Linked DNA regions of Pelodiscus sinensis. The protein of the gene in region 4 purifies or fractionates together with the protein of the main gene of each other region. This does not show direct contact. Links are inferred from orthologs where the notes say so. Each region holds a gene or a part of one and is shown on either strand. Other genes may lie near its edges.

Evidence for each region.
Region 1: the proteins of HDAC3 (region 4) and XPO1 purify together in Homo sapiens (affinity purification with western blotting; 3 studies listed by BioGRID, with this or other methods). This does not show direct contact. The link is inferred for Pelodiscus sinensis from reciprocal best matches to the Homo sapiens genes HDAC3 and XPO1.
Region 2: the proteins of HDAC3 (region 4) and STAT3 purify together in Homo sapiens (affinity purification with western blotting; 4 studies listed by BioGRID). This does not show direct contact. The link is inferred for Pelodiscus sinensis from reciprocal best matches to the Homo sapiens genes HDAC3 and STAT3.
Region 3: the proteins of HDAC3 (region 4) and ATXN3 purify together in Homo sapiens (affinity purification with western blotting; 3 studies listed by BioGRID). This does not show direct contact. The link is inferred for Pelodiscus sinensis from reciprocal best matches to the Homo sapiens genes HDAC3 and ATXN3.

What each region holds. Positions count from the first base shown.
Region 1 is NC_134713.1:180,629,466-180,636,594, forward strand, and holds the start of XPO1 (exportin-1), read right to left. Parts: upstream 3,004-7,129; 5' UTR 2,870-3,003; intron 2,608-2,869; exon of another isoform or gene 1,833-2,607; intron 1-1,832. UniProt on the Homo sapiens protein: Mediates the nuclear export of cellular proteins (cargos) bearing a leucine-rich nuclear export signal (NES) and of RNAs.
Region 2 is NC_134739.1:9,061,898-9,068,765, forward strand, and holds the start of STAT3 (signal transducer and activator of transcription 3), read left to right. Parts: upstream 1-3,858; 5' UTR 3,859-4,010; intron 4,011-6,868. UniProt on the Homo sapiens protein: Signal transducer and transcription activator that mediates cellular responses to interleukins, KITLG/SCF, LEP and other growth factors. Once activated, recruits coactivators, such as NCOA1 or MED1, to the promoter region of the target gene.
Region 3 is NC_134714.1:30,853,124-30,860,862, reverse strand, and holds the start of ATXN3 (ataxin-3), read right to left. Parts: upstream 3,005-7,739; 5' UTR 2,990-3,004; coding exon 2,949-2,989; intron 2,401-2,948; coding exon 2,322-2,400; exon of another isoform or gene 2,197-2,321; intron 1-2,196. UniProt on the Homo sapiens protein: Deubiquitinating enzyme involved in protein homeostasis maintenance, transcription, cytoskeleton regulation, myogenesis and degradation of misfolded chaperone substrates.
Region 4 is NC_134727.1:1,035,190-1,043,195, reverse strand, and holds the start of HDAC3 (histone deacetylase 3), read right to left. Parts: upstream 3,004-8,006; 5' UTR 2,857-3,003; coding exon 2,802-2,856; intron 1,897-2,801; coding exon 1,814-1,896; intron 1-1,813. UniProt on the Homo sapiens protein: Histone deacetylase that catalyzes the deacetylation of lysine residues on the N-terminal part of the core histones (H2A, H2B, H3 and H4), and some other non-histone substrates.

The DNA.
Region 1 (7,129 bases), on a different chromosome or scaffold from region 4:
TTATTAGCCGCATGAAAGCAGAAAGGAAACACTTCTAATAGAGTGCTTTGCCACTCCCAGCATTATCTCCAAAATGACTTACCTATTGGTGAATTGAAATATAAAAATGGCGGCTTTGTGGTCAATGCCAACTGCGATTAACTTGATTGCCTATTCCTAATAATGTGCCCAGATCAAGCCTATAGTATTGTATGTGATCTGCTAGACAGACACTCACCCCGATCCATACCTCAGCTTGCACCTAAAACTGCTTCCAACTGCTAGTGTATAAAACTGAAAAATGAAAACTAAATAGTATCACAATTAATAAATAAGGGAAGGATCTTACACTTGCCAAAACCCAGAAGAATGGAGACTTGTTTACAGAGCTACCTGAGGTTACAGTGGCCTTGTGCATGAAGTGCAAAAATGCTTATAACGAGCATACCGATTACCATTCCATAAACACATCAGAACAGCAATTTTAAAATGAGCTGTGCTCAGTGAATTAGAACATCCACACAACAAAGTAAAAAAAAAAAGCTTAAAAACATTCAAATTAAACTCTAGGTCAAATACAACTCAACAACTACTTCAGGCTGTGCGGGGGCAGCAGCAGCACGATTCATTTAAGTATAGAAGTAGCCACCCGAAACATACAGTTAACCCCGCCCAACTCAGCTAGTGAACAGCTCCACTTCTAACTACAATGGAAGTAAAAATCGGCATCCCACCACACTCTTTAAAGCTATCAGGATTATTTATATCAGGCAATTTAAAGTTTCCTTTTTTTCCTATTCCCACAGCCTAAGCACGATTAGACCTGCACAGCACATGCATTATACATCAATTTAGACATATAAAATTTAGTGGGCATTTATATTAAAGTTAATGCCGCAGTTCCACACACTAATGAAAGAGCTTGTTTCCTTTCCCCGTATGTGTGTGTATAGCAATAATAGGTAGCAGAACTTCAGCTACATTTCTTTCCTAAGCAGCAGACTTGTCACATTAAAGAATATATATCCAAATAAATGCAAATACATTCGAATTGTTATCAACAAGATATCTGATGTACACAAATACTGCATGTGAACATACAGATGCACACCTACTCTGTGTAAAGGCCTTAACTGACTTCCCTTGCAAACCAGTCAGAATACTGCAGTACACGGAACGTTATACTATTAAAAACACACAACTACGCGCCAATCAGTTTTTCTGACAGTCATTACTAAAGTATCTGTCGGACGGGAGGGAGAAAGAGATCCGGGTTTAGGAACAGAAGGAGGTTTGTTAGGTTTCTTTGCGGAGAGCAGTAGGGACACTGCAGCCCCTCCCTCCTCTCGGTCCCTGCGTTGTATACAGGGCCACCCCACGTGATCCAGGCGGACGTTTCAATACTGCTGCACAGACACACAAAAATATTTCTGGAAACTTCCACTCCTAATAATTTACAGATTATGCCCCTAATTTCTCGAGTTCCCAACACTGGCTCCAGCCCCACACTTCACATATAATCAAAAGCACAAAATGACCACCATCTACCCCACCCCCACAAGCCTTCACAGCAACCTCCCCACACCACGCTCCTTCTTTCCCCACACCCATAGCATCAGTGGTAGAATTTGCTCTCTAGTCAATTGCAAAGCCGACACGTCTGATGTTTGTAGCCCGAAGACCACGCGTCTCCCGCCCTAAGTCTTACACCCATTGTGCCTTGCCTACCCGCGACTTTCTGCCCTCCACACACCCACCCTCCTGCTGAGAATCCCTTTTAACCCTCCCACTTCCCCCCCCCAAATACATCCAACCCCGCACCCCAAGATTTTCACCCCATAAGAGTTACTTACCTAAATAGTTATTACAGCCTCGGCCTTTAAAAAATGCGGGCGGGGGGAGTGAAGTTTCCAACCACACCAAAAAAAAATTGAGGAGAAATCACACGCGCGCGCCCTCTCCCCGACTGAGCGTTTATTGGTGTCACCCTTCTCCCCCCCACCGCCTCCAAGCCAAGCGTGCACTGGGCTGCTTGTATGACTCGCTCAGCGCGGGCTGCTGCTAACCCCTGGCCAGGCTCACTCGCTCCCTGCTGCCCCTGGCTCCCCCTACAAGGACTCGGCCCCCAACTACCTGCTCCCGGGCCTAGGCCGCCCAGCGCAGGGGATGGAGCCCCTCCCTTCCCGGCGGCTTGGCTCTGGTTCCCCAGGCCCGGCTATCTGCTTTCCTGGGGCTCCTTGAGTCCCGAGCTTCCCAGCCCCGCTGCTTTGGTGGGCCCCGGGTCTGTCACTCCCCAGGCCCCGGGCTCCTCTGGCTGAGTCTCTGGTTGCCCGGGCCCCTGCTTCTCCCCTTGATCTGGCCGGGTCTCAGTACACCCCCATTCCCCCCCCGCTCGCACTAAACTTTGCCCCGGCGGGTGTGTCGGCGGCTCCCCCTGCGGGCTCCCCTGTGAGCAGGTCACACACACAGCGGCGGAGGCAGCAGCGGCGGCAGGGAGTGAGCGCAGCGTTTCTCCCCCTCCTAGTGCCACAGACTCGGAACCGGCTCAAACCGGTTCAGACTGGGAGATTCCATCTCGGTTTAGTTTTCAGCCCATGGCGCCGCGAAGCGTTTGGAAACCTCAGGCCTCCGCCCAGCTGCTGCTCCCATTGGCTCCGAACACAGCCGCTGCGCAGGCGGCCTCGCCTCTCATTGGACAAGAGGACCGTCCGTCTGTGCGCTGCCGAGAGGGGGGGGTGGGTAGGAGGCCCTGCCTCTTCTCTAGCAGCGATTTGCCCGCAGAGGGGGGAGGTGGCGGCGCGGCAGCCCTCGTTGACTGGCCGCGCTTAGCTGTCGCTCAAAAACGATGCCCGCCCACAACTCCCGACCCGCGGGCGCAGTTTTTACCCACCGATGATTGGCTGGGCGCTTGGAATGACGTAGGCGTTCGAGAGAAGCTTTTACGACGGTGCGTTGAGAAGGGCGCGCGGTTGCGTAGAGCGGGTAGTGAGGCCCCGAGAAAGCGCGGGGCGAGGGAGGGAGAAGGGGGGGGTCTTCTTGGCCTGCGACCGGCACGAGATTCCTAGGCGCGCGTAGGGCCCTGTCGCCGGATGGTGCCTATTAGGAGCAAGAGCTTCTGTCTTCGCGTTCGCTGGGAGCGAGCAGGGCTAGTGGGCGCGTCTGTGGCTGGCTCCAAGGGCAGCGGCGGAAGGGCCGGGCACCCCACTGTGTGTCTCAGAGGGAGCCCCTCCCCGCCCTTCTCCTCGCGTACGTCTACGGCCCCATCACCGTAGCGTGTCTCAGCCGTTTAGAGTCCGTTGACCCAGCAGCCCTTTGAGGCTGGGCGGTGCCGCCCCGTGCAGCGCAGGGCAGCGGCTACAGAGCCTCGCCCGCGGCCCACAGCGCAGGCAATCCATGGCCTCTTAGCGCTCGATTCTGAATGGGAGCGTTGGGACAGCCGTCTCCTGCTCTCTGGTGGCTGAAACTGGCCACGCGGGGAGTGCGACGCTCTTCAAGAAGCAGTTCGCTGACAAAGAGTCGGGAGGGAGGAGGCATTGAGGGGGAAACGCAGGCTAATTATAGAGTGACCATATGAGCCGCTGGGGCAGGGCAATCTTTTTTTTTTTTAATGCCCTGCCCCGACTTTTTCTGTAGATTTGTCCGTTTCCTCCTTTCCTGAGCGTCAGTGGACAAGCGCAAACTGGACAAAGGCACAGGTTTGCCAAAAATTCGGGCTGCGACCCCTAGCAGGACAGTGTTAGGTGGGAGGGAGAATGGGGTGGAGGAGCAAGTGGGGTTTGAATCCGGCCCCAAGTGGCTGAGAGTCTTGGGCTGGCTGAATGCACAGGGGATAGAGGAGGGGACTTGGGCTTGCCCCACATGCAGGTGGGGTGTGGGGGGTGGCCTGAAATCGGTTCCACACGCGCAAGGCATAGGGACTGAGGCCAATCCTGCACATTAGGGAAAGAGGCCTTGGGGCAGCTATGGGAAGGAACCTTGGCTCACACCTGTGACATGTAGGGATGTAAAATCCCATTTCATTGGCTAACCTGTTAAACTTTGTTTAACGTGTTAACTGATTAAAGGGGAGTGGGGCACTGCTCCAGCCTTGCTGGGCTGAAGTGGCCCTCCCTGCCTAGGCCTGGCCAGTTAAACTTTCATGTCCTTAATGCAGTGGCCATTTTCCCTTGGGGGGGGGGGGAGGGAATATGGTCACCTTATCTAATTAGGAACACTGAACCCCACATTCCTGATTTGCAGTAGCATATATGTGAATGTTTGTTTACAATTCATTTTAAGTAAGTATTTACATAAGATATACGGTTCCCAGAATCAATATGCCAGGTAGTAAAGGCTATTCAAATGCTGCTGAGGAAATACTGTAGGTAGGAGTTTGTGTTATGAAATATTATTAATTCTTAATGGGAGAAAGGAAGTTTGAATCTTTTAATGTGCTTTAAAAAGTATTTAATCTTCCTATAAAAGTATAAATTTTTACCACATGTATTCTAAAACAGTTTTATTTTTCAAGTGGTATTTGAATCACCATCACCATCACCACGATTTGAGCACCAAATAACTTCTTGTGCAAGCAACCTTAGCAACATAAAAGTGATGCCTTTCAGTTGTAACATACTTTGTCATTTTGGTGCACTTTATGAAAGGTAGAGCTATAGATGTGGATTTGATTCAGAGGAGTTGAAGATGCTGCTTAGAAAGTATATATCCAAATAAGAGTAAAAACTACACAAGTGTCTAAATACAAGTTGTATATATTTTCACAAGTAACTATTGATGATGGGATGGCTAACTTGAAACTCTGTAAAAGACATTTCACTGTTTGCCCTCATAAAATCAAGTTCCTTTAAGATGATTAAACTGATATCCCCAAATCACTAATTGCCTCTGAAAATGTAGGTCAATTAGTCTTTTAATGTACAAACAGCTGTGGCACATAATACTTCTGGTGACATGCATTAGGGAGGTGAAGGTTTAACTGGTTAACCCATAAGCCTCAACCTTAATGGATGAGATTTACCGCAGTTAAGGTAAGCTGGTGGGGGCTGGAGCAGCTCCAACCCCACAGAGAGCCCGCCGCAGGTAGAGACTCTGGCATCCTTGCTGGACCAGCCTCTGCCCTTGGTGAGCCTTGGTACCTTTGCAGACAGGAGCTGTTCCGATTAGGATGCTGGAGCAGTCACTGCCTGTGAGGTGCTCTGGCCTGCTGCAGTCGGGCTGCTCCAGCATCCCAGCCAGAGCAGTTCCATGGCAAGCTAGGTTGCCCTGCAGGCAGGGGCTCTTTTGACCAAGATGCCAAAGCGGCCCCTCCCTGTGGGGTACCATGGTCCACCGCAGGCAGTCTGCTGTGGTGGTGAAAGGGACTGCTAGAGCAGCTCCTGCTTTTGGTGGATGAAAGAAGGGGGGCAATATGTTTAACCAATTAGTCAATAAAATGAGAAGAACTCAACCAATGCTTATTGAAGTTCAGTACTTTCTATTCTGCTCTTGTTCTTTGTTTACTATGAAGCAAAATGTATGTTATACTCTTGCTAAATTCTTTAGAACTACTTAATCAAGATTCCTCACTTCACATGGAAAATACTTAAACATTAGTTCTATTAAAGGTGGCAGATGAAACATACATTGACACCTAAGACTATAACTGATATATGGTATCATGAGTAACTTAATTATCACATTATGAAAAACTTAAAAAACAACTAATAGTTTGGTAGCACTTTAAAGACTAACAAAACATGTAGATGGTATCATAAGCTTTCAAGGTGGGATAATTTTAAATACAAACACAAGATGACATTCCAAGGAAGAAAAATTATAAAAAGCAGCCTAAGAACATCAACAAAACCTGTTTTTACATGAAGTAACTGATTCCCTTTGTAAATACTGCACCCTGATGATTGTATCATTGAAGGTAACAGAGTAAAAGTTCTTTGAAGGGATTAGTGTGACACTTAACATCACTGCATAGAGAATTCTCTGGAGTTATGTACTACTGGCTAAAGTGTATCTGTAAGGAAACTTAATTTTGACTGCCAACTAGGGCTATTACTTACTGTTTAAAAAGTTAACTGGTTAAATGCTGTTTAACCAATTAATCCTCATGAGGCTCCCCCGCTCCTGGTGTGATGCGGTGGGCCCAACCAGACTGTAGCCAGCTCCACACTGCACCCAGTAAGCATTCTAGTAAAGCTCATGCTTACCCAGTAATTACCTTTATATCCCAACGTAGCTCTGTTTTCGTTCTTTCTAGAAAACATACTGAAAGTCTATTTAAAAAAAAAAAAAAACCACCTTTGTGACTTTTCCAGGTATAAAGGTCCATTAATTGTCTCCTGCTACGCAGGACTGTGACTTCTGGTAATGTGCAAGACCTACTGGATAGATTGTAGCAACAGGGTTCCCAAGCTGCAGTGGGATAATTAGGGATATGCATACAATCATTTTGGCATCAGCCCTTGTTACGGAACAGGTTATTTTTCCAGGGAAATGCAAGCACTGGTAGGTTGCTGGAGACACTTCAGTGATATCATTATTGGCTGGCCAGAAAAAGTGTATGATTTTTGCAACTTTAGGAACACATCTGTTCAGAAATCTGGAAGCAGGGATGTTCTTTCCCAGCCTCTGCATAGAAATGCCAGCAGTGACTGGGGTGATCCACAACTATCCCTTGGTCCCCTGGCTTATGAAACCTTGTGCTGGACACATCAACAGCTCCAAGAAAAGATCCACCTGCTCAGTGTAAGTGCAAAATGACAGATGCAGGTGAATGTTTTTATGGCAGATTGAAGGGACACTGGGACTGTTTACTCACAAGATTGGAGCTCAGTGAGAAAAATGTCCCGGGGTTATAGCTACCTGTTCTGAATAATATAGGTGGAAAAGTTGCCACTACAATGGAGAGCAGAGGTGGGTGTCTCACTATCTGAGGGCTAGTCTACACTAGAATCACTACAACAGTGCAGCTGAATTGAGGTAACAACTGCTATAGCATTGCTAGTTCAAATGCTAGTCTATGCCAGTGGAAGGGAGCTCCCTGTTAGCATAATTACTCCTCCTCCCCAATCCAGAGTAACTGTCAGCGGGAGAGCAATAGTGCTGTCCATTAGGTTGGTGTAATTTACTTGCTCAGAAGTAGCTTTTTCACACCTCT
Region 2 (6,868 bases), on a different chromosome or scaffold from region 4:
AGTGCAGTTTCGGGCACGCTGAGTGATGGAAGGAAGGCCCGATGGTTGAAAGACTGGGCCCTTTTGCACAAAGACAAACCATCTTGTGCTGCTGGGGTAGCCAGGGAAAGGGCCCTGGTTTGAGACCGGTACAGCGTCGCGGACAGGACACAGGTGGGAGAGATTCCAAACTCGCTCAGCACACAGGCGGCTTGGCATCCACAGGCGAGACACGGACTTCGTGCAGGAGGCGGCGAAACCTGTTCACAGACGAACGCCCCCGTTGGCTGTGGCTGTTTGAACACTGCTGGCTGCCTGTGAACCATCAGGGCGCCCCAGAATTCTCAACCCCATCTGCCCAGGGAGGCCTGGGGCACCACGGTTCTGGACCTTGGTCTTCTACCATGAGATGTTCAACCCCATAGTATGGGCAGCATCTTGGAGCCTCAGCACGTGGGGGTGAAATTCTCTGTCCAGCGTTGTCACAGACACTTATCTGCCACCTGGGCCTACGCACTGACAGATGCCGCATCGCCTGTGGAAACAGAAGCACTGTACAGCCAGCTAGTAGCAAACACCCAGGCCGCTCCGCCTCATGCCGCGCTGCTCGTGCTCAGAGATTTCAATGCCGTGACTGGCTCGGTTGGAACTGAGTCTCAAATCTTGATAGGTGTCTGTGGTTTGGGTGCCCCAAAGGACACCATGTGACAAAGCGGGGCTGGCATTCTCTCTGGCCTGTTGCATGTGATTTCTACTGTCCTGTGGTAACCCTGTGTGCGTGCCTCAGTTTCCCTGGGCACTGCACCAATAGCTAAATGGGGATGGGAAGTTTGGGTGTGATTCTCAAAGAGGGAGGCTGCCCCAGTAGTCCCCAGCACATACACAATGGCTGAGGCTTTTGGTAAATGAGCCTGGGAAGGGGTGTGTGTGTGTGTGTGTGTGCGCGCGCGCGCGCGCAACCAGGTGACACCTTTTGTCCAGGAAACTTGACAAAGGAGGAGGCGGGGCTGCCTGCAGGGCTGGGACTGGTTGCTGAGTGTGTGAATGAGTCTCGGCTGGCTTAGGATATAGGGAGGGGGGGCCTAAGGCCCTGGCTCTGGGCCCCTGCTCCCCAAGATGCTTCTAGATCCTGAGCTTCTAGTCACTTCTACATTGTAACCCTGTGAACGAATAAATATTCTGTTCTACTGGCTGGCTGAGATGTGGGTGCAGGGCCTGGTGACTCCCCACCCGGCAGTGACACGCTACCATTCAGGTTTTGACATCACATGCCCCTTAGAGCTTGTCTGTTATAGGCACCAGTGTTAGGCACCTCAACAACCATCGCTGCACCTTGGTTTCAGAGGACGGGCCAGGAGGGAAGCTGACCACATCCTCATGCGAAATTACTCCACAGCAATCAAGATTGGGGTCTCCTAAAACACACGCGCTAGCTCAGTCATAAGATATGGGCTGGCTGCAGGGTTATCTCGCCTAAATTGTGCAGGAAGCCAGATTAGGACACAACGGTCCATTGGGGACTTAACATCTCTGGCTCTTCTGAAGCAGGGCGGACACTGGTGAGGGTTCAGTTTCCTCAGGCCCCTGAAGGACAATGAGAGAGCGAGAAGCCTCTGGTCTTGTACTGACCGGTTCTGGGAGTGAGAACTTCCTCCTGGCCCATCCCCCAAGCACTGCTCCAGTGCAAGAGGCAGGGATTCTAGTGCTGGAAGGTCCTGTGTGTCCCGGACCAAGCTGGTGCAGCTCGGGCAGGAAAGGAATCCCCTGTAGCAGGCTTAGAGTGGCCAAAGCCCTGAGTAGTGAAGTGATCAGCCAGACAGACTAGTCAGATGGTGCATCCCTCCCCACCGCTAGCAGCCGGAAGGGAGAAGGGGCCGTAGGTCATGCCGCAGACATGCCTCATGCAGCCCCCCAGATGTGCCACACAAACACCCATCCAAGGCACAGACACACGGAGCAGAAACAAACTGCAGGGATTATGTGGCCTATTTCTGCCTCCCTAAAATTCCCACTCCCTTCACTTCCTGTCCTAAACTGGCAGGCTGAGGTGCCATTAACATTGGATTTCTGAAAAAAGGGGGCTGTTTCCTTAGCACCGCCACCCCGCCCTTCCTCCCTCATTATCACCATCAGTATTGTTAAGGACACTTAGCAGGGCTCCCTTCCCCAGGAGGATTTCCTGCTGCTTTTTGCAGCACTCAGCAACTCCCAGGCTTGCTGTACAGAGATGAGGAAATAAGGGGAGGCTGGCAGCTCTCAGGGAGGTCAGGTCACACAAGGCTGCCCCGATTTCACGGGGGCCAAGTTGGGAGTAATGCTGATGTCCAGGAGCCAAGGAATCCGGTCCCATTGGGGAGGACTCAGGGTTTCAGCCTCCTTGTGGAAACTGAGGACTACTCATTCCCCCACTCTGTACTCCCCCACCAGGCCCCTGCCCTCCAGTCTCACCCTCCTCAGGCCCAGTTCCCGTGTGTCCCCACCACAATGTGCCCCTTCTCCCAAGATCAGCCTCCCCAGTATCCTCCCATGTGCCCTCCTAGGTTCAGCCCCCAAGTACCCCTACTCATGTGTCCCCCCAGGTTCAACCCCCCCAAGTACCCCTGCCCATGTGCCCCCCAGGCTCAGCCCCCCAAGTACCCCTCCCCATGTGCCCCCCCAGATTCAGCCCCCCAAGTACCCCTCCCCATGTGCCCCCCAGGCTCAGCCCCCCAAGTACCCCTCCCCATGTGCCCCCCCCAGGCTCAGCCCCCCAAGTACCCCTCCCCATGTGCCCCCCAGGCTCAGCCCCCCAAGTACCCCTCCCCATGTGCCCCCCCAGATTCAGCCCCCCAAGTACCCCTCCCCATGTGCCCCCCAGATTCAGCCCCCCAAGTACCCCTCCCCATGTGCCCCCCCCAGGCTCAGCCCCCCAAGTACCCCTCCCCATGTGCCCCCCAGGCTCAGCCCCCCAAGTACCCCTCCCCATGTGCCCCCCCCAGGCTCAGCCCCCCCAAGTACCTCTCCCCATGTGCCCCCCAGGCTCAGCCCCCCCAAGTACCTCTCCCCATGTGCCCCCCAGGCTCAGCCCCCCAAGTACCCCTCCCCATGTGCCCCCCCCAGGCTCAGCCCCCCAAGTATCCCTCCCCATGTGCCCCCCAGGCTCAGCCCCCCAAGTACCCCTCCCCATGTGCCCCCCCCAGGCTCAGCCCCCCAAGTACCCCTCCCCATGTGCCCCCCCCAGGCTCAGCCCCCCAAGTACCCCTCCCCATGTGCCCCCCAGGCTCAGCCCCCCAAGTACCCCTCCCCATGTGCCCCCCAGGCTCAGCCCCCCAAGTACCTCTCCCCATGTGCCCCCCCAGGTTCAACCCCCCCAAGTACCCCTCCCCATGTGCCCCCCAGGCTCAGCCCCCCAAGTACCCCTCCCCATGTGCCCCCCAGGCTCAGCCCCCCAAGTACCCCTCCCCATGTGCCCCCCAGGTTCAACCCCCCCAAGTACCCCTCCCCATGTGCCCCCCAGGCTCAGCCCCCCAAGTACCTCTCCCCCAGTGCCGCCCCCCCATACCCCGTAAACAGCCTGTCCCCAGATTACCCCCCCCCCCCCATAGCGGCCATTCGCCCTTTAAGAGGCGGGGCCAGCGGCAGCCCCGCCGTGCTGACGTCAGGCGCTGCCCGGAACTCAGCTGAGTTTCCCGCATGGACATTCCCGGCACTTGCCGCTCCCCCCGCGAGGCTTCCGGGCTCCCGTGTCCCTCGGCTCGGCCCTGCGGTGGGAGGGGAAGCTTCGCGCCGGAACAGCCAACTAGGGGCACCCTCCCCCCCCCGCCAATCCTAAATAATTAATCAAGTCAGAGACGGGAGGTGCCGATTGGCCGAGAGGTTACGCCCCCCGTGAATAATGAGCAAAGGCGGCGCGCCATTGGCCAGCGGCTCCGTGACGTATGCAATGGGGGCGGGGCCGAGGCCGAGGGGGCAGCAGGTTTCTGGACTGCCGCGGTGGGAGCAGGAGGCCGAGCGCCCCAGGCAGCCGGAGCCTGGGAGCCCCGTCCCCGCGGGTGAGCAGGGGCCCTGGGGCTGCAGGCAAAGCGGGGGGCGCCTGTGGCATGAGTGCGTGAAGGTGCCGCACCCGTGGGTGCTGGGGAGCAAGCTGCTCCCTGGGGGCGGGGGCTGGGGCTGGGAGGGAGGGGACATTTGAGCCCATGGGTGCTGGGCTGGGGGGGACAGCTGCACCCAGGGGTGCCTGCCCATGGGTGCTGCTCCAGTGGGGGCAGTGTCGTGCCACGGGGGGGGGGGCAGCAGGTCCCATGGGTGCAGGGCAGGGCAGGGCTGGGCTGTGGGGCATCTGCACCCATGGGTGCTGGACAAGGCTGCTAGGAGCCTAGAGTTGGGGCAGCGGGTCCCATGGGTGCTGCCTGCCGGGCTCTGGCATCTCTCTCACGCTGCTGGGGCCCTGAGGAGCGAGGCCGGTGGCAGCGCTAGAGCCAGATTGACAAGCCCTAGAATGAGGAAACTGAAAGTGGCAGCCGGAACCCGGCCCCTCTCGCACATCCATCTTGTCTTGCATCAGCCTGGCTGGGATACAGGCTCTCCCCAGCCCCTCGCCTGGCGTCAGTGGCCCTGGCTGGGTGCTGCCGTGGAGGCTAAGCTCCCTTGTGATGCTGGCTCCTGGTTTCCTTCGGGCAGCCTCTTGCTCCAGAGCTGATGGCGATGGAGGTCGAGGGAAACTGAGCCGGCCAGCCGGGCTCTGCTCTGTCCCCATTGCCTAGCATCTGCCTAGGGGTTGGATTGAAAAGCTTGGCCCAGCTGCTGAGCACCCTTCCTTGTGTCACGGACTCGCTCTGGTTAGGAGCTGATGCTGCTCCCTGGTACCTGCAGTGGGTGGGGGGAAAGCTGCTGCGGTGTCTTTTCTTGGAGAAACTTTATGGCTGGTGCTTGTAAAGCTCCGTGTGGCTCGCGCTGCCTGGGGCCCACCTCACAAGGCCTAAGAGCAGCTTGGGATGATGGGCATCGCCTTTCTTTCCGAGGCCAGTATAGATGCTGCGTGGGTCTCGTCGCCAGGCCAGGAAACGATGCTGTCGTTTTGCTTTTGTTATTAGTCACTGTCCAGTGTCCAGGGGCGATGGGTTTGCAGTCATTGGGGGGAGCAGGGAGCCGTTTCTCTCTTACCCAGAAACAAACTTTCTGAGGACGTGCCCCCCTCCCCCCCAAGCTCTGAGTGCCCTCCTTCAGCTGGAGGAGCCCCGGGCACCCCCCACTTTTGGCCTGAGCACTGGCCAGAGCATCCCTGCCCTGTGATTCAACCGCTGGCCAGCTGGAGCTGAGCCCCCATTGGCTTTAGGGGCAGTGAGGAAGGGGCCTCAGGACAGAGCATGAGTAGGCCCATGGCCTCGGTTAGGGAATGCTTAGCCTTCATTGGCCTTCGCTACCTGCTGCCAGAAAGGTTGAACCTCTCTGGTCCGGCAGCATGTGCGGTCTGGCATGATTTTAGTGCTTGATCCTTCCATGAGGGCAGAGGACTGGAGTCCATGACCTCTCCAGGTCCCTTCCAGTTCTAGGATTCTAGTGAACCAGATGGCCACACCCTTGGTAAGTGGATGAGTTTCCTACAGTCCTATAAAGTTTGTTTACAGCCACCAGGTCTGGCTCTTAGTGTTCTGTGCTGTTGTTGATTAGCTCTAATTGACCCTGAGCCCAGGAAGCGGTGGGAGTGTTGGTAATCCTGCTAGACAATATTGACCTCCCATGATTGGGCAAATTCTCTGATTCTGCACCAGTCAAGTCCCAAGGGTGCCAGACTAGAAAGGCTCCACTTGTAGTACAAAACCAAACACCCCTGCTCTGCCTTTTCCTTGAGGCTCTGCCCCAGCATGGCCTCTTCTCCCAGGCCTGGCACCCCACTCACTCCATCTCCCACTAGGAATGTGAGAGGTTGAGGCATGAGCTGATGCTTATCGCTTCCAGTTAATGGTTAAACTCCTGCAGGGCTGGCTGAGCCCCTGTAACTGATGAAATTGTAATTGGTTACACCCGCGATTCTCAAACTGTGGGTCCTGACCCCCCGGGGGGTCGCAAGCAACTTGGGGGGGGGGGGGGGGGTCGCAGTAGCACAAAGTTTGAGAACCCCTGCGTTACATGGCTAGTGTTTAACAGTTTTTACCTGTCCCTTGCTCATTTTCACTGGGCAGAGGGTTGGAGTTAGGGATAGCTATGTAGGCGACTAGCCGATAAGCATAGCCTTACATGCAGGCTCTTAAAAGGCTGAAGTGCAGCAAGAGGAACCAGTTGTGAGCTGGGAATCCGCTCTCCTGGCTCTCACCTGGTCCCTTCCCCGCATTGCCCTTCTGCTCCTGGGGCTGGGAGCTAAGCTAGCTGCAGTTCTGCAGTTTCCCCCGCTTATCGGCTAGTTGGTGGAAATTCCATTGACTAGTTGATTCAGTGTAATTTCACATCCCTGGTTAGGAATGTGAAAGCTTAACCAGTAAGCATTACCCATACTGGGTGATACTGACCGGTTCCAGTTTATTGGTGGGGGCTGGAGCAATTCCTCATCTGCTGTGGGCAGGGGTCTGCTCCAGCCCCGCAGGGGGCCTGCCCGGATGATGCTTAATTGGTTAAATGGTGAACTGACTAACTGGGGTTTTGCATCCCTGGTTGGAGGGTGGGAGGAAATGAAGGCTCTGGCTTGGGTTGCAGGCTCCAGGTTGGGGCCAGAAATGAGGGGTTGGTTCATGGTGTGGGAGGAGGCTGGGGAGCCAGTGGACATAGAGAGCCACTTTGAGTGGCGTGGAGCTGCTCCGTGCCTGAGGGTCCTGGCAGGGTGGGCCGTGGGCTGGATTAAAAGGCTTGGCGGGCTGGGTCCGGCCCACGGGCTGTATCTTGCCCACCCCTGCCCTAGGAGCTGAGGGACATGTGT
Region 3 (7,739 bases), on a different chromosome or scaffold from region 4:
TTTTCCCAGGTAACAAGTGGAAAGTGCAGTTTGCTCCATTCCTCAATCTGGCTATGGAGTGCAGATGTGCCTGGACCAGCTGCAGCCAGGGGACATCCACCCCCCTGGAGCTGATGCAGCTCCAGTAGGTGGAGGGTAACAACCATAGAGAAGGACTTCTCACCTGGCCCTAAGCTGCTGCACGAGAGCAGTTCTTTCCCCAGGGAAGCCTGCATACTGTACCCCCAGGTAATAATTTAAAACAGCGTTTCCCAAACTATGGGTCGCGGCCCAGTACCGAGCTGCGGGAAAAAAATACCAGGCCTCAGCATGGCTGCCGGGAGAGGAGCAGAGCGTGGTGGGCTGGGAGGAAGGAGGGAGGAACCAGCCGCTGGGAAGCAGTGCTGGGGGCAGCGGGGCTGTCCCGGTGGAGATCCGGGCAGGTGGGCAGGCAAGCGGGTGGCCAAAGCAGGGCTGGGAGCGGCGGGGCTGTCCCACAGAGATCCAGGCGGGCAGGCAGGTGGCAAAAGCAGGGCTGGCGGCAGCGGGGCTGTCCTGGTGGAGATCTGAACAGGCAGGTGGGTGGGCGGCCAAAGCAGGGCTGGAAGCAGCAGGTCTGTCCCGCGGAAATGCGGGCAGCGAAAGCAGGACTGAGGGAGTGGGGCTGTCCCGTGGAGATCCGGGCATGTGGGTGGGCGGCGGAAGCAGGGTTGGGGGCAGCGGGGCTATCCGGTGGCGGAGATCAGAGAGGGCAGGTGGCGGAACCAGGGCTGCACGGGGGATAGGGGGAGCTGGCCGGGGGAGATCAGGAGGAGGAGGACGGGAGAATCAACTGCCAGAAGCAGGGCTGGACGGGGGTAGTGGGGCTGGTGTGGGGGAGAAGGGGGGTCATCAGGGGAGCAGGGCTGACCGGGGGAGATTGGTAGGTGGTGGGTGAACCGGCTGCTGGAAGCAGGGCTGGACAGGGGCAGGAGGGCTGGACTGGGGAGATCGGGAAGAGAAAGGGGGGAAGCGGGACTGACCTGCGCACATGCAGACCCTGCAGACCCTGGCAGATGAGTGAGTCTGGCCGGAGATTCCATTTTGCCCCCTCTCCCCCACATACCCTCCCTGGAGTAGTTGCGAACTGCCTGGCAGGTAGACACACTCAGACTGCGTAAGCACATCTACCAGCCAGGCAGCTAAGGAATAATACACCTAATTATAATAAAATGTACCTAATTAGAAAATACCAGGCATTTTATATGTCTGGTAATTTCTTTCCCAGACAAAACCTTCAAATACCGGACTGTCCAGTACAAAACCAGACACCTGGCAACCCTACCCTTCCTTCCACCCTCCTTCCTAGCCAGATACCCTACCCCCAATCTGCCTGTGCTCCCGCCTCCTGAAGTGCTCATGTGGCGCTGGGTCCCCCAAGCCCTGGCCCAGGCTGGGTGGAGAATGTAGCCGGGTGAAACACTGAAAATTTATTCATTTTTCATTCTTTTTTTTTAATATGCGTTTATATTTTTGGACTTCAAAAGACAATACTGAAAAAAAACAGATTCCAACTAAAGTAAAAAGTTTGGGAAACCCTGGTCTAGCTAGCTTTCTATCCATCTTACAGTCCATTTATCCAATCCATATTTCCTTAACTTGCTGGCAAGAATATTGTGAGTGACTGTATCAAAAGCTTTGCTAACGCTGGCACTGGGGGCTTTGGGAGGACCAGAAACAACTTATCTGAATATTCATCTTTTGCTTATTGAATATGCAAATGAACGTTACCAGTCCTCCAAAAGCTCATGAATAGATTTACTGGTCCCCGTGTCAAAAAGTTTGGGAACCCCTGATTTAAAAGAAGAAATGCAAAAATTAATTGAGTTAAGGATCCAACGATACCAGGTAAATCTCCTAATGGTAAATAATGAACGGGACAGATCACTGACTCAGAGCAATTGAGTTCCCTTGGTAAACTGGCCACAAGCAATCAATATGCATTTCCATATTGCCATATGTAAATACATACATCTGGGAACAAAGAATGTATGCCATACTTTCAGGATGGTGTACACTATCCTGCACAGCAGTGACTTTGAAAAAAGGTTTGGATGCCGTGGTAGACAGTCAGCGAGACATGAGCTTCCAATGTAATGCTGTGGCCAAAAGAGCTAACACAATCCTGGGGGCCATAAACAAAGGACTCTCAAGTAAGAGTAGAGAAGTTTTTCTTGCCTCTGGTTTTGGTACTGGCACAACTGCAGCTATGATATTGTTTCCAGTTCTGATGTTCACAATTCAAGAAGTGGGTTATCCAAAGAGCCACGAGAATAAGCAAAGGATTAGAAAACATGCCTTACAGCAGGGCTACTTGGCCCACAGCCCGTTTGTTTGTGGTCCGTGATGAGGTTTGGATTTATGCAGGGCTCAACAGGCGGCCTGCAGGTGGGAGCCAAAACAAAAAAGTAGTCAATATAATGGTCTTCTGCTGATATGTGTTTTAGTAATCAAATTCCTGGATTGTCATTACTCATTAAAAGTGCTGTCATATAGATGGAAACTAGGTAAATATTGCATTTTATTAATATCAGCAGAACTGACTTAAATGGGGTCTGTGTGTTGAGTAGTCTTGCCTTAATTTTTGTATTCATGCCCCTCAACGTGAAAGAAGCTATCTGCATGTCCATGCAACCACACTGAAGTTGCAGCCCTTGGCATATGCTTTGAGAATCATTGCAGCCCCGGGGTCCTCCAAAGCCCTGCCTTACAGCAACACACTCAAGGAGTGTGATCTTTTTATCTTAACAAAGAAATGGTTAAGGGGGGCCATGCTCACAGTCTATAAGTACCTACATAAGGAACAAACAACTAATAATGGGCTCATCTGTCTAGTAGACAAAGGTAGACATGACCCAATGACTGGAAGTGGAAGCTTGACAAGTGCAGACTGAAAATAAAGCATACATTTTAATGCAGAAAGTAATTACCCACTGGAACAATTCACCATGGGTGGTGGTAGATTCTCCATTACTGTCAATTTTTAAATCAAGATTGGATGTTTTTCTAATAGATAAATTCCAGGAATTATTTTGGAGGAAGTTCCACCTACATGGGAGGTCAGGCTCACTAGATGATCACAATGGTCCCTTCTGTCTTTAAAATCTATGAAAACAGATGTCACAACAGAATAGAATATGTTGCTTATTGCTTCAGATATTTAACTAGACTATGGGACAGTGCCCCCTGCTTGCTATGCTCACCAACCCCCCTGTCTCTGGGGGTAAGCAGACCTGGCTCTCCTGCCAGTGAGGGATGGGGCCATGTCAGCCCTAGCCTTTTGGATCTCCACCCCCGGCCACAGGTTCCACACTGGATTTGGCTTCTGGGGAAGCGCATGTGCTGTTATGGGATGGGAAGGGGAGGGGAGGGAACTGGGGCCTGGAGCTCCATGGCCCACAGTCCACCCCCCCTTCCATTATTACCCCCATACCCCTGCCTCCATTCATATACCCACCATCCTCCCAAACCTCTCAACCTCCCCATCACCTTCATCCATCCCTATCCTCACCCCCTTGGCTCCATTCTTACAACCATTGTCCCTAGCCCCTCTCCCCCCCTGCCTATCCCTACCCTCCCATCCTTCTCTAACCCCTCCCCTTCCATACCCCTACACTGCCCATCCCCCTGCCTCCATTCCTATATCCCCCTTCACCCCCATCCTCCTTTACCACATCACCCTATCCCCCTTCCTCCCTCCCTCCACACGCTCTGCCTCTCCCACAAATGGGAAACCTAACCAGCAAGAAAACAGCACCATTGGCTTGGCAGTTGCTCCAAACACTGCTGGGCTGTCCCTGTGTGACCCCTCAGGGGGCAAGGGAATTAGCCTTCCAACTTGAGCCATATGGAGTCCTTTGGGTGGGGCGGCAGCATGTGAGGGAGGGGGTAAACCACCAGCCCATGTGGCATGGAGTCTGGGGCGGGGGAGGGGACAAAGGCCCAATGGGGGCAGCATGGTGGGGAGAGAGAGCTAAGCCCCCAACTTATGCCTCATGAAGCTGGCAGGGGTGGGGTGTGGGTGAAGGCCCCAGTGTGGGGGGAGGTGTTCAGTGGGTGGGGGAACCCCTCACCTCTGCGCCCCTTGGGAGCATTTCCATGCAGTCAGTGACAAAGGAACCTGGCATGCCCCATGCACTGTAGGACTGAGCTAGGTATCCTGTTGGCAGGAGGATGCAGAGAGCCAATCCACCCCCACTTCCTCCACCAGCAACCCACAGGCAAGGGCACACATCAGGGACACAGACATCTCTGCCTCTATTCTTCTCAAGTGGCTCCTGGCTGTGACCCAAGGCACCCAGGACCAAGTGGGCAAAGGGAGGCTGTGAAGTGGCTGCCACACATGGAGTTAGGCCACCCTGCTTCATAGCTGCCTACTCCCCAGCTCAGCTCCACCACTGCCTGCTCCAAAGAAGCTTGAGTGGCCACAGGCTAGACAGCACCCACCCCCAGCTCCCTATAGCTCCACTTTTCCATGTGACAGATGACTCCACAGAGCCCGGGGGTGAGAGAGGCTGGGGGAGTCAAAGTGACAGACGACATCACTCTGTCATCCCGCTGGAAACTTTGTTTTTATATATAGATGTTTTAATTCCACCTCAGTAATCTGGATTACTACATTGTCAAATAGCAAATGTTTTCATAAATGTATACACGTTTCTTGTACTGCACACTGATGTAAAATAATTGCACCTTACACTACTTAAACAATAGCAATTCCTGTGCAACTTTGATCTTATTAATACTACTCTACCTATTAATCTAGTTTCAGCAGAATTACTTTTTTCATTCCAAGTCTGTGAAGCCATCTTTCCATAGGAACTTATTTTAAAAACAAAAGAAGTTGTGGTTTTTTAGGTTGCCTTCTTTGGAAGGGGCATTTAACTCAGATAGGAACTAGTTTGGTTTGATTTAGTTACTGTATCTCTCAGTAACTAGAGCAACCTACATTTACAAAAGGAAGTTTATTAAGAATTATAGTATGAAAAACTTGTTATTGGTAATGATTAAAGTACACAAGACATAAGCAAGACATGGGAATGCAATGGTATGGAAGTTACTGTTTAGGACTCTGAAGGCAATCATGAATAGCAGAAGTATTTGCCATTGGAAACAAAATATTTAGCACTCATATGGTGCTTTACATCTTCAGAAACACAGTACTAACATTAAATAAAAGTCTTCACAACACCTACTTTGAAACAGGTTTCATAATCCCCACTCTGTACATGCAGAAACTGAGGCAGAGAGAGGTTGCTATGAACAGAGGCACAGCAAGATGGTGCCAGAAGTCACAAATAAAACCCACATCTCCCACTGCTCATCTTTATAAGCATTTCTCATTTTAAGCCATTCTTCAGTCTCAAGAGAGTAAAAACTTCATTCTGCACAATACTATTTTTTCTGTACTTTTTAAAAGGTTCTAGAAATAAAACCTCACCATGGCAAACAAACTATATAAAAAGGAGTAGTATGGACACTGCTTGTAACCACCTTTGAAAGGTACCTAGATTTCTTCTAAGGTGTAGCTGGTTGAACTGTCATTTTACCTGGCTTTCCCCTTCCACTCGAGAGGAACCTCATCAGCACTAAGTTATAGAAGAAGGCAATATAACATCAAGATCAATGTGGATAAGGCAATGGAGTCAGGTAGTCGCTTTGGGAAGCGTTAAAAAGACAGCTTCAAGTACTACCCTGCTCCAAGTCTTCCACGGGATAGAAGAAATTCATCAGCCTCCGCATCCAGCCATGGGCTGCAACCCCCCCCCCTCATTCCTTCGCCCCAGGCACTGCCACTGACTAACTCCCCTCCCTACGAAGGACTGTAGGACCTCTCACCCCACCCCACCCTTCCTCTTCTCCTCCAGCCCAGCCCAATCATCAGCTGCTACCCAATTCTCTGAAATACCCTCCTATCCCCCCGTCCAACCTAGGCTGTCAGCTCCGCCCTCACCGCTCCCGCCCCCCGCTCAACCAAAAGTACCCCCTCCCCCACAGCCCTCTCACCCTCTCGTGGAAGATGGCCTCCATGTTTATTTGTCCCAAGCCAGCAACCTCCACTTCACGTGACTACACCCCAATCTCAGTACCGCCAATCATCGCAGCTGTCTCGCACCCCTTCACCCTCTGCCTTCCACGTGATCTTACCCCGACCAATAAACCGAGGCCTGTCCACCTCCCTGACAGTCATGTGATCACAACATCCGTGCCTGCACTGGAGTCGGGAAGGGGGGGGGGGGCGGAAGTGGTTTTAGAGCTCGCGCACTGCAGGTCGCTGCAGTTACAGCCTCAGATCCGGGCTCGTAACTATTCCAGTCAGAGATTTACCGGCGCTTACAGCCAGTCGATGAGCCATGCGGTCCCAGCTGCGTGCACTGTAACTGGCTAGAATTGTGCGTCCTTCCCCCGGTGTCTCAAGCCCAGGTTGACCAGCAGTGGATGGAGATGGTCCCGCACCTTTGTGGTATTTTAAGGAGGCGGCAGGGTCTGTTATATGTGTACAGGTGCCAGGCCCCCTCAAAATCGACCCTGTTCTGTATGGTGGTAACTATTGTTACTTCTTAGCTAGCCACAGTATTATTCTACACCAACTCAGAAATTAACTCTGATAATCTGAAGAAGTGGGCTGTGCCCACAAAGCGCATGATACCATCTACAATACGTTTTGTTAGTCTATAAAGTGCTGCTAAACTATTTGTTGTTTTTGAAGTTTTTCCTGTTACAGACTAACGCCGCTACTCCTCTGAAACTTCAGAAATTAATTTAAATCACTTTCAGAGTATATTATCCCATTTCCCATAATTGGCCATTCAACTGAAGGGAAAAATTGTCAGCTGGATTTAGGGCATTTTAATGAAATTAGGTGGAAGAAGCCTCCCTCAGTAGGCCTTATTGCAGTCGCTGTGAGTGGGTACCACTGATAGCACCAGACAGATATTTGACAATGAGAAGTGTTAACCATAGGCAACAGCCAACTAGAAACACACTGGTGCATAAAATATTAGTATTGAAAGGAGGAAAATGGGAATGGGCTCTAGCAAAAGATAGGCGCATGAAGATAGAACAGAGCAAACAGAAAACAAAGAGATAGGAAAGGGTATTTTTAAGAATAGTAATAGAAATGTAGCTGTGTTAGTCTGGTCTAGCTGAAACAAAAACAGTACTATATAGCACTTTAAAGACTAACAAGATGGTTTATTAGGTGATGAGCTTTCGTGGGCCAGATCCACTTCCTCAGATCAAATAGTGGAAGAAAATTGGCATGACCATATATACCAAAGGATACAATCAAAAAAATGAACACATATGAAAAGGACAAATCAAATTTCAGAACAGAAGGAGGATGGGGGGGGGAGGTAAGTGTCTGTGAGCTAATGATATTAGAGGTGATAATTGGGGAAGCCATCTTTGTAACCGGTAAGATAATTAGCATCCTTGTTAAGACCTAAGTGTCAAATTCAGAGAATCCTTCATGATTAAATTTGACACGTTACACCTAGGTCTTAACAAGGATGCTAATTATCTTACCCATAACAAAAATAGCTTCCCCAATTATCACCTCTAGTATCATTAGCTCACAGACATTTACCTCCTCCCCTTACCCCCTTCTGTTCTGAAATTTGATTTGTCCTTTTCATATGTGTTCATTTTTTTGATTGTATCCTTTGGTATATATGGTCACGCCAATTTTCTTCCACTATTTGATATGAGGAAGTGAGTCT
Region 4 (8,006 bases):
TAAACGAGTATGTCAGAACTGTCAATTTTATCAAATCCATGCCATTCCATGCTCAGCTGTTTTGCATTCTTTGTCAAGAGAAGGGGTCAGATCATAAGGAATTGTTGCTTCACACTGAGGTTCACTGGCTTTCAAAAGGCAAAGTACTTGATGGATGCTTTGAATTATACCCATTTAATAAGTTTTTCTCTGATCATTCATCCCTGTTTGTTTCTGTGTTTGACAACATCCTGTGGTTAGTACAACTTGCCTACCTTGCAGACATATCTAGCAAGCTGAATGATTACAATTTGTCCATGAAAGGCCATGACACCAACAATCTGAATCTTTACGATAAAGTGAATGCTTTTATCAAGAAAACTAAATTCTGGAAGTCCAAATGTCAAGTCAAAGACTTTACCTGTTTTTCAGTGTTTTATTAATATATCACGGAGGCCTAAATAGGGGAAACTGAGCTGAGCAAAATGATTTCTCCAACATTCAGCACAACTCAGCTCAACGCAACTGGGTAAGAAACCTTGTTCATCTTGCCAAATGTTAGCAGCAGTAACCTCTCTGCTGGACAGCAAGATTATATTCTTCAGTTTTCCCTCAGGCCATAGTCTGCAAATATAATGATTCTACACTAACCTAGTTCTGGTGTTCAATGCAGAAAAAGAGTACATTAACTGTGGGAATCATGCTTTGGGAGGTCTGTTATCTTTCAGGTCGGCATATCTTTGAACAGTCTCATTTTCTGCTATGACTGCCACCGAGACACAATGTGGAGAAAAACCTCTAACTTGCTGTCACTTCACTGTCAACCAAAAGAATAAGGCTCACAAGTGAAAAAGAGGCTCAACTACCACACTGGAATATCGCAGAAACATTTCAATCAATATATTTTGCAATTATTTGGCAAAAATGAGAAAGTCAGAAATGTTGCAGTAATAGTGCACTGTGACACTTTTGCATTTTTATACCTCGTTTTATAAGCATGTATTTTTAAGTGAAGTGAAACTTGAAATACAGACAAGAAACCAAACTCCTAAAAAGAACACAGAATTCTGGAAAAGTTGAGAACCACTGACTTAAAGCATCCCCAGCAAATAGAGAGTCATGCCAGTGGTCCCCAGCGCGGTGCCCACGGGCGCCATGGCGCTTGCCGGGCAATTTCTGTGCAGCCGCCGAGTGAATGGGACCAGCCCCGCCCCCACCCCCGGGTGCATGGGCGGTGCCAGCCCCCTGGGCACACGGCGTATGGGCAGCGTCGGCCCCGGGCGCGCAGCACATGAGCGACCCCGTCCCCAGGTGCACAGTGTTTGGGTGGCCCTGCCCCCGGGTGTGCGGTGCAAGGGCTGTGCCGGCCCCGGGCACACGGTGTTTGGGCGGCCCCATGCGTGGGCATGCGGCACATGAGCAGCGCCGGCCCCAGGTGCGGAGAGTTTGGGCAGCCCTGCCCCCAGGTGCATGGCACAAGGGCGGTGCCGGCCTCTGGGCGTGCAGCACGGGAGCGGCGCCGGCCCCGGGAGTGCAGCGCATGGGTGGCACCAGCACCAGGCACGTGCACAGCTCCGCCCCTGGGTGCGTGTGTGACCCTGCTGCCAGGTGCCCAGCGCCTGAGTAGCCCTGCCCCCGGGCACCTGGCAGCCCCAAAAGGTTGGGGACCACTGTTCTAGCCTAATATGGCGAAATGACTTTCGTCAGCAAGAATAAGACATATTATAAAATGGGGACGAGCATATTTCATAGCCGCGTTTTAACATAGTTACATTTGAACCATGTGGAGGGCTTTCCAGGACACCAACCCCAATACCTGACAAGCAATGCTTACAATCATCTTCTTGTAGAGCCCATAGTGAAGCACCAGACTGTGGGTCAGTGCCAGGCGATGAGGCTTCATGGGGTGCCCTGCGCCTGGAAACAATAGAGGCGATCAGCACCCACAGATCATACACTGGATTGCAGCCAGACACCCCACTCCCCTGCCCACAGGCCCAGCCCCCGACTCCCCCACAGGCCCAGCCCCCCTTGCAGGCCCAGCCCCCCCGACACCCCCAATAGGCCCAGACCTCCCGACTCCCCCACAGGCCCAGCCCCCCTTGCAGGCCCAGCCCCCCCGACCCCCCCACAGGCCCAGTGCCCCCTGCAGGCCCAGCCCCCCCGACCCCCCCAACAGGCCCAGTGCCCCCTGCAGGCCCAGCCCCCCCGACCCCCCCAACAGGCCCAGACCCCCCGACTCCCCCACAGGCCCAGCCCCCCTTGCAGGCCCAGCCCCCCCGACCCCCCCAACAGGCCCAGCGCCCCCCGACCCCCCCACAGGCCCAGCGCCCCCTGCAGGCCCAGCCCCCCCGACCCCCCCACCAGGCCCAGCCCCCCCCGACCCCCCCACAGGCCCAGCGCCCCCCGCAGGCCCAGCCCCCCCGACCCCCCCACAGGCCCAGCGCCCCCTGCAGGCCCAGCCCCCCCCGACCCCCCCAACAGGCCCAGCGCCCCCCGCAGGCCCAGCCCCCCCGACCCCCCCACAGGCCCCGCCCCCCCCCGACCCCCCCAACAGGCCCAGCCCCCCCGACCCCCCCACAGGCCCAGCGCCCCCTGCAGGCCCAGCCCCCCCCGACCCCCCAACAGGCCCAGCGCCCCCCGCAGGCCCCGCCCCCCCCCGACCCCCCCAACAGGCCCCGCCCCCCCGACCCCCCCACAGGCCCAGCGCCCCCCGCAGGCCCAGCCCCCCCGACCCCCCCACAGGCCCCGCCCCCCCGACCCCCCCACAGGCCCAGCGCCCCCTGCAGGCCCCGCCCCCCACACAGGCCCCGCCCCCGCACCGTAGTGGAAGTTGCCCACGTCCGGGTCGTAGAAGTAGGCCACGGTCTTAGCCATGGCGCGGCGCCGCCAGCACCCGCCGCCCCGCTCCGCGCCCCGCCCACAACCGGGCACGTCACCGCGCCGCCCCGCCCCGCCCCCGGCGCTCGCACGAGCTCGCTCGCCCGGCGCTGCGGCTGCGCGGGTTGGCCGGGGGCGGGGTCCGGCAGGCTCCTGGCGCGCGGCTGCGCCCGGCCCCGCCCGCTGCAGGGGGAGTCGCTGCGCGCGCAGCTCGCGCGAGCTCCCGGCCTGGCGCCCTGCTCTCCGCTGAACGCCACTGAACAGGGGAAGGAGGAAGTGGGCGGGGCTGTCCGTGCCAGGCTCCGCCCCCAGCACCGCCCCGCAGTGCCCATTGGCCAGAGGCAGCGCCGAGCCGCCTCCTCGTGGGAGCTGGAGGGGCGAGGCGCTGCCCCTGCACGCCCTGTATTGACCGGCCAGGGGAGGGGCAGGGGGCAGGGCTCAGAGCACGTGGGAAGTTGGCAGCTCAGGGGCCTGGGGGCAGGAAGCTGAGCCCTCCCCAAGGCACAGCCACAGAAATAAGTGGGCCAGTCTTTAATAGTGCTGTGAGGGGGAGCTGAGGTTCCCGGCCCTGCAGCCCCGCAGCAGCAAGAACAGAGGGTTTATTGCTTCTCCAGGGCACAGCCCAGCCTAGACGTGATGGCTACAGCTAGACTGGCATGATTTTCCGCAAATGCTTTTAACGGAATTCTCATCGCAATAGAAAGGATTGTCCCAAAAAAGCTATCGGACAGCCCTACGACAGACTACTGAGGCAGCTGCTGTCTTATGAATTAAGAGTCAGTTTCAGGAACGTGCCTTTCTGGAGAGGAGCTAGCCAAAATGTAGCAATTTGCTGACAAAATCTCCCCACCACAATCTTTTCTTCTTATGTGGGTCTGAAGGGAACGGGAACTGTTCTAGGCAGACTCATCTTATCCATAGGATGGTATGGGGCGGCTGCCCCCAGACCCTGTGCGTTGGGGGCCCCAGTGGCAGCCACCTGAACCATCCTATGAATGGGACCTGCAAGGCCTAGGGCAGCTGTTGGGATTACCTGGGGGGGGCAGGGCACAACACCCCAGCAGTGGTCCCCGTCCCAACCCCGCACTCGCAGCAGCAAGAGTCAGAGCAACCTGCTCCACTCTGCCCCATGGCCCATCTCCCAGCCCACATCGTTCCAGTTCAGCAGTGGCCATGGGCAGGGGCTCCAGGCCCCTTTGAATGGCCTGGCCCTGGGGCAGCTGCCCCTTTGCCCCGTCAGCGGCCTAGTTGCGCGTGGCTTGGAAGCGTGCCTCTCTCGCCAATAGAAGATGATCCAGTACAGTGTCTCCAATCCCTGAGACTGACACAGCTACAACTGCACATTTGAACACGGCCAGACAAGCTCTGTTGCTCCCACACATCCAGGCCTTATTGCTGATGACCCCAGAGCCTGGCTGTCCCCCAGCCCTCGGCCTGCACATCCCTGTCAGTCCCTGGCACTGGCAGGCATCTTCCCCAGCCGAGTTCCTGCCTGGGTGTGGCTGGGGCAGGAAGGGTGTCAGTCAGGGCGTTCGCACTGCTGTGGGCTGGGCAGGGTGTTTGCCGCGTGTGACCAGTGACTGCGTGAGAAGCAAAGTGCAGCGCAGCCTCTGGTCATTTTCGTCACTTTGGGCAATAAGCCAGAGGCCCAGCGCCTGTGAAGGCCCCATCCCTCTGAGGCACCCCTGACTCACAGCCCTGCTTGGCTAGAATGCAGCTGTTGAGGGAGGTCTCAGCTGTGAGGCAGAGGTTCTCAGGCAGCCAGGGCATGGAGGGCTTTGACCATGGCAGCAGAAATCCAACGCTGCCCTCAGTGTCCCTAGGCAGCCAGTGCGGAGTGGAGTGCTGGGCAGATATACCCTGGCAGGCTGCGCCGCTGTGGACTAGACTAGCTGGAACATTTCAGGGTGAGAGGTTTCATTCCTCAGTCAAATGAGCCACAGTCCCCAAGCCCAGAGGTCCTGAATTCCTGGGCTGACAGCCAGGTCTGTGCCTGCTCGGATGGGGGCAATTGGCCGCTCCGTTGCATATGGGAGTCGGCACTTTTGCCTTTGTGGTGTTGGGGTATTAACAGCGTTAAAGGGGCCAAATGGCACTGATGCCTCTGGCAGCACGAAGCATTGGAAAGGAGGCTGGGGTGGCACTGGCAGACCAGGTGGCAGCTCATGCCCAAGTCCCAGGCCTCACTGGACGCTTACAAATGCCTGGCTGGACACAAGGCCAACGCAGCTCAAAGTGCTTGTTCGTATGGGAGAAGGTCTGGGGCATTTAACCCTCCTGGAACGGCATGGATGCTGCCTGCTTTGCTGTCACGTATCCGTCTCCCATTACGGTGCAAGAGCAAACACGGACCCTGCATGCAGCCCTGCCACTAAATCCCCAGCCAGGGAGAAAGAAGCCCTGGGTAATGCAAATGAAGAACTTTAACCACAAAGGGCATAAGTCTTGTTCATTGCAACGATGCAAAGGAACTGGCAGATCGCTATGTCTCTGCTACCACTTGAGAATGGGAGACTGAGACTCACTTGCACAGGTATTTCACCGGCTCTCACCTCTCAGTAACTCCCAGCGAGTCACCCTTCAGAAAGCCGCTCTGGACCAGCACGGCTTTGCTGGGAGAGCGAGGCTACAGACTGAGCCAGGGGACTGACTGGGGACTGAACTGAACCTGCATGTGTAGAATCTTTGTCACACAGTCCCGCTTGCGTCTAGGGGACGGGCTGGGGCTTCGTGGTAAGGCCCCTGCGCTGTGGCGGGAGGTCACATTGCTTGGTGCAAGCTAGTTACAGAACACGCCCCAGTCGCCCTGCTGCTGGCCGGCCGCTCGGCCCTGGGCTTCCAGTGCTTTTCCCTTGGCCCTGCTCTGGGCTCTAGCCAGCTGCTGCTCACCCGGCCACTGCCTGGGCAGGACACAGAGCTGGGTGCCCCTGAGCAGCTGCCATGCACCTGGGTGGTCTCACCAGCTCTCCTGATGGGTTCTTATCCCCTATTAAATACCAGGGAGGGGGAGGGGGTGAGCTGCCAGGAGGCCTCTGCACTCAGGGCTTTGGGGCAGGGCGACCTTGCGGGACCTTCCGAGAGGAAGTGTCCAGAGCTGCTTCAGGATCCCCCCTCCCCCCGCCCTGCCTGGGGGGATGGGACAGGAGAGCATGGTGACCAGCAGTACCACACTCTGCTGCCCCGCCAGCTGGGCCAGTCTGGGGCTGCACTTGCCCTGACTAGCAAGAGGCTGGGCCGGGCTGAGCTGTGCTGTGCTGTGCTGTGCTGGGCTGGGCCGGGCCGTGCCGGGCCGTGCCGTGCTTGTGCTTGTGCTTGTGCTGTGCTGTGCTGTGCTGTGCTGGGCCGGGCCGGGCCGGGCCGGGCCGGGCTTGTGCTTGTGCTTGTGCTGTGCTGTGCTGTGCTGGGCCGGGCCGGGCCGGGCCGGGCCGGGCCGTGCTTGTGCTGTGCTGTGCTGTGCTGTGCTGTGCCGGGCCGTGCTTGTGCTGTGCTGTGCTGTGCTGTGCTGTGCTGGGCCGGGCCGTGCCGGGCCGTGCCGTGCTTGTGCTTGTGCTTGTGCTTGTGCTTGTGCTGTGCTGTGCTGGGCTGGGCTGGGCTGGGCTGGGCTGAGCTGTGCTGGGCTGGGCCCGGCAGGGCTGTGCTGAGCTGTGCCGGGCTGGGCTGTGCTGTGCTGGGCTGGGCCCGGCAGGGCTGTGCTGAGCTGTGCCGGGCTGGGCTGTGCTGAGCTGTGCCGGGCTGGGCTGGGCTGGGCTGGGCCCGGCAGGGCTGTGCTGAGCTGTGCCGGGCTGGGCTGGGCTGGGCTGGGCCGGGCCGGGCTGGCATAAGGCCCGGCTGCAAGGGAGCCAGGAGAAGTTGGGTTTGTCAGTAGACCCTTGTGAAATCTCAGCCAGCACCAGCCAAGCACACTGGTGCCACCAGAGCCCGGCTCTCACCCCTGCTGGAGCCTGCTGCTATTCACTGCCCCCCAGCGCAGAGGACTCGGCCCCCTTCCCTCCCAGCAGGGGCCCTCTCGGTAGCTCGGCTGCCGCTTCGTCCCTCTACTGCGCCTGGCGCCCGCCGGGCACGGGCGGGGGAGGCGGAGGGGGGCGGAGGGGGGAGTTGGAAACGGAGGCGCCCGCTCTTGTTCCCTGATCCCCGCCCCCCCGCGCCGTGAGCAGCCTGCAAACGCTGGCGCCGCACCTGCCTCCTTCGTGCCTCTCCCGCCCGCCGCTGCTGGCTTGTCCCGCGGGGCTCCCCGATTCTCCCCTCCCGCAGCGCCAGGGCTTTGCGGGGGTCCAGAGAGGGGGCGCGAGGCCGGGCCGGGCACAGAAGGATGCTCCGGCCGCAGCCCGTGGCAGGGATGCTGGGTTGCTAGGCGACAGGTGAGGAGAAAGGACCGATGAGCGGCGGCAGGAGGCTCAGGTACCAGACGCTGCCCCGGCATGGCAGGAGGGCGAGAGGCGGCTGCTGGACCGGGCTTCCGGGACAGGACCGGGACTGGCGGCCACGACGGACGCTGAAACCCAGGCAGAGCCTCCCCTCTCCCCTCCCCCCCGGTCCGGCTGGCGCAGGGCTCCGGACGCGGCCCCCCCCCCCCGGTCCGGCTGGCGCAGGGCTCCGGACACGGCCCCCCCCCCCGGTCCGGCTGGCGCAGGGCTCCGGACACGGCCCCCCCCCCCCCGGTCCGGCTGGCGCAGGGCTCCGGACACGGCCCCCCCCCCCCCCCGGTCCGGCTGGCGCAGGGCTCCGGACGCGGCCCCCCCCCCGGTCCGGCTGGCGCAGGGCTCCGGCCACGGCCCCCCCCCCCCCGGTCCGGCTGGCGCAGGGCTCCGGACACGGCCCCCCCCCCGGTCCGGCTGGCGCAGGGCTCCGGCCACGGCCCCCCCCCCCCCCCGGTCCGGCTGGCGCAGGGCTCCGGACGCGGCCCCCCCCCCGGTCCGGCTGGCGCAGGACTCTGGACACCCCCCCCCCCCCGTCCGGCTGGCGCAGGGCTCCGGACACGGCCCCCCCCCCCCCCCCAAGGTCCGGCTGGCGCAGGGCTCCGGACACGCCCCCCCCCCCCCGGTCCGGCTGGCGCAGGGCTCCGAGCCGGGCAGACGCTGCCTCGCTGCTCCCGCGCCCGCCGCTGTGAGTGGCCGCCCGGCGGGAGCGGAGCAGCAGGCGGGAGCGGT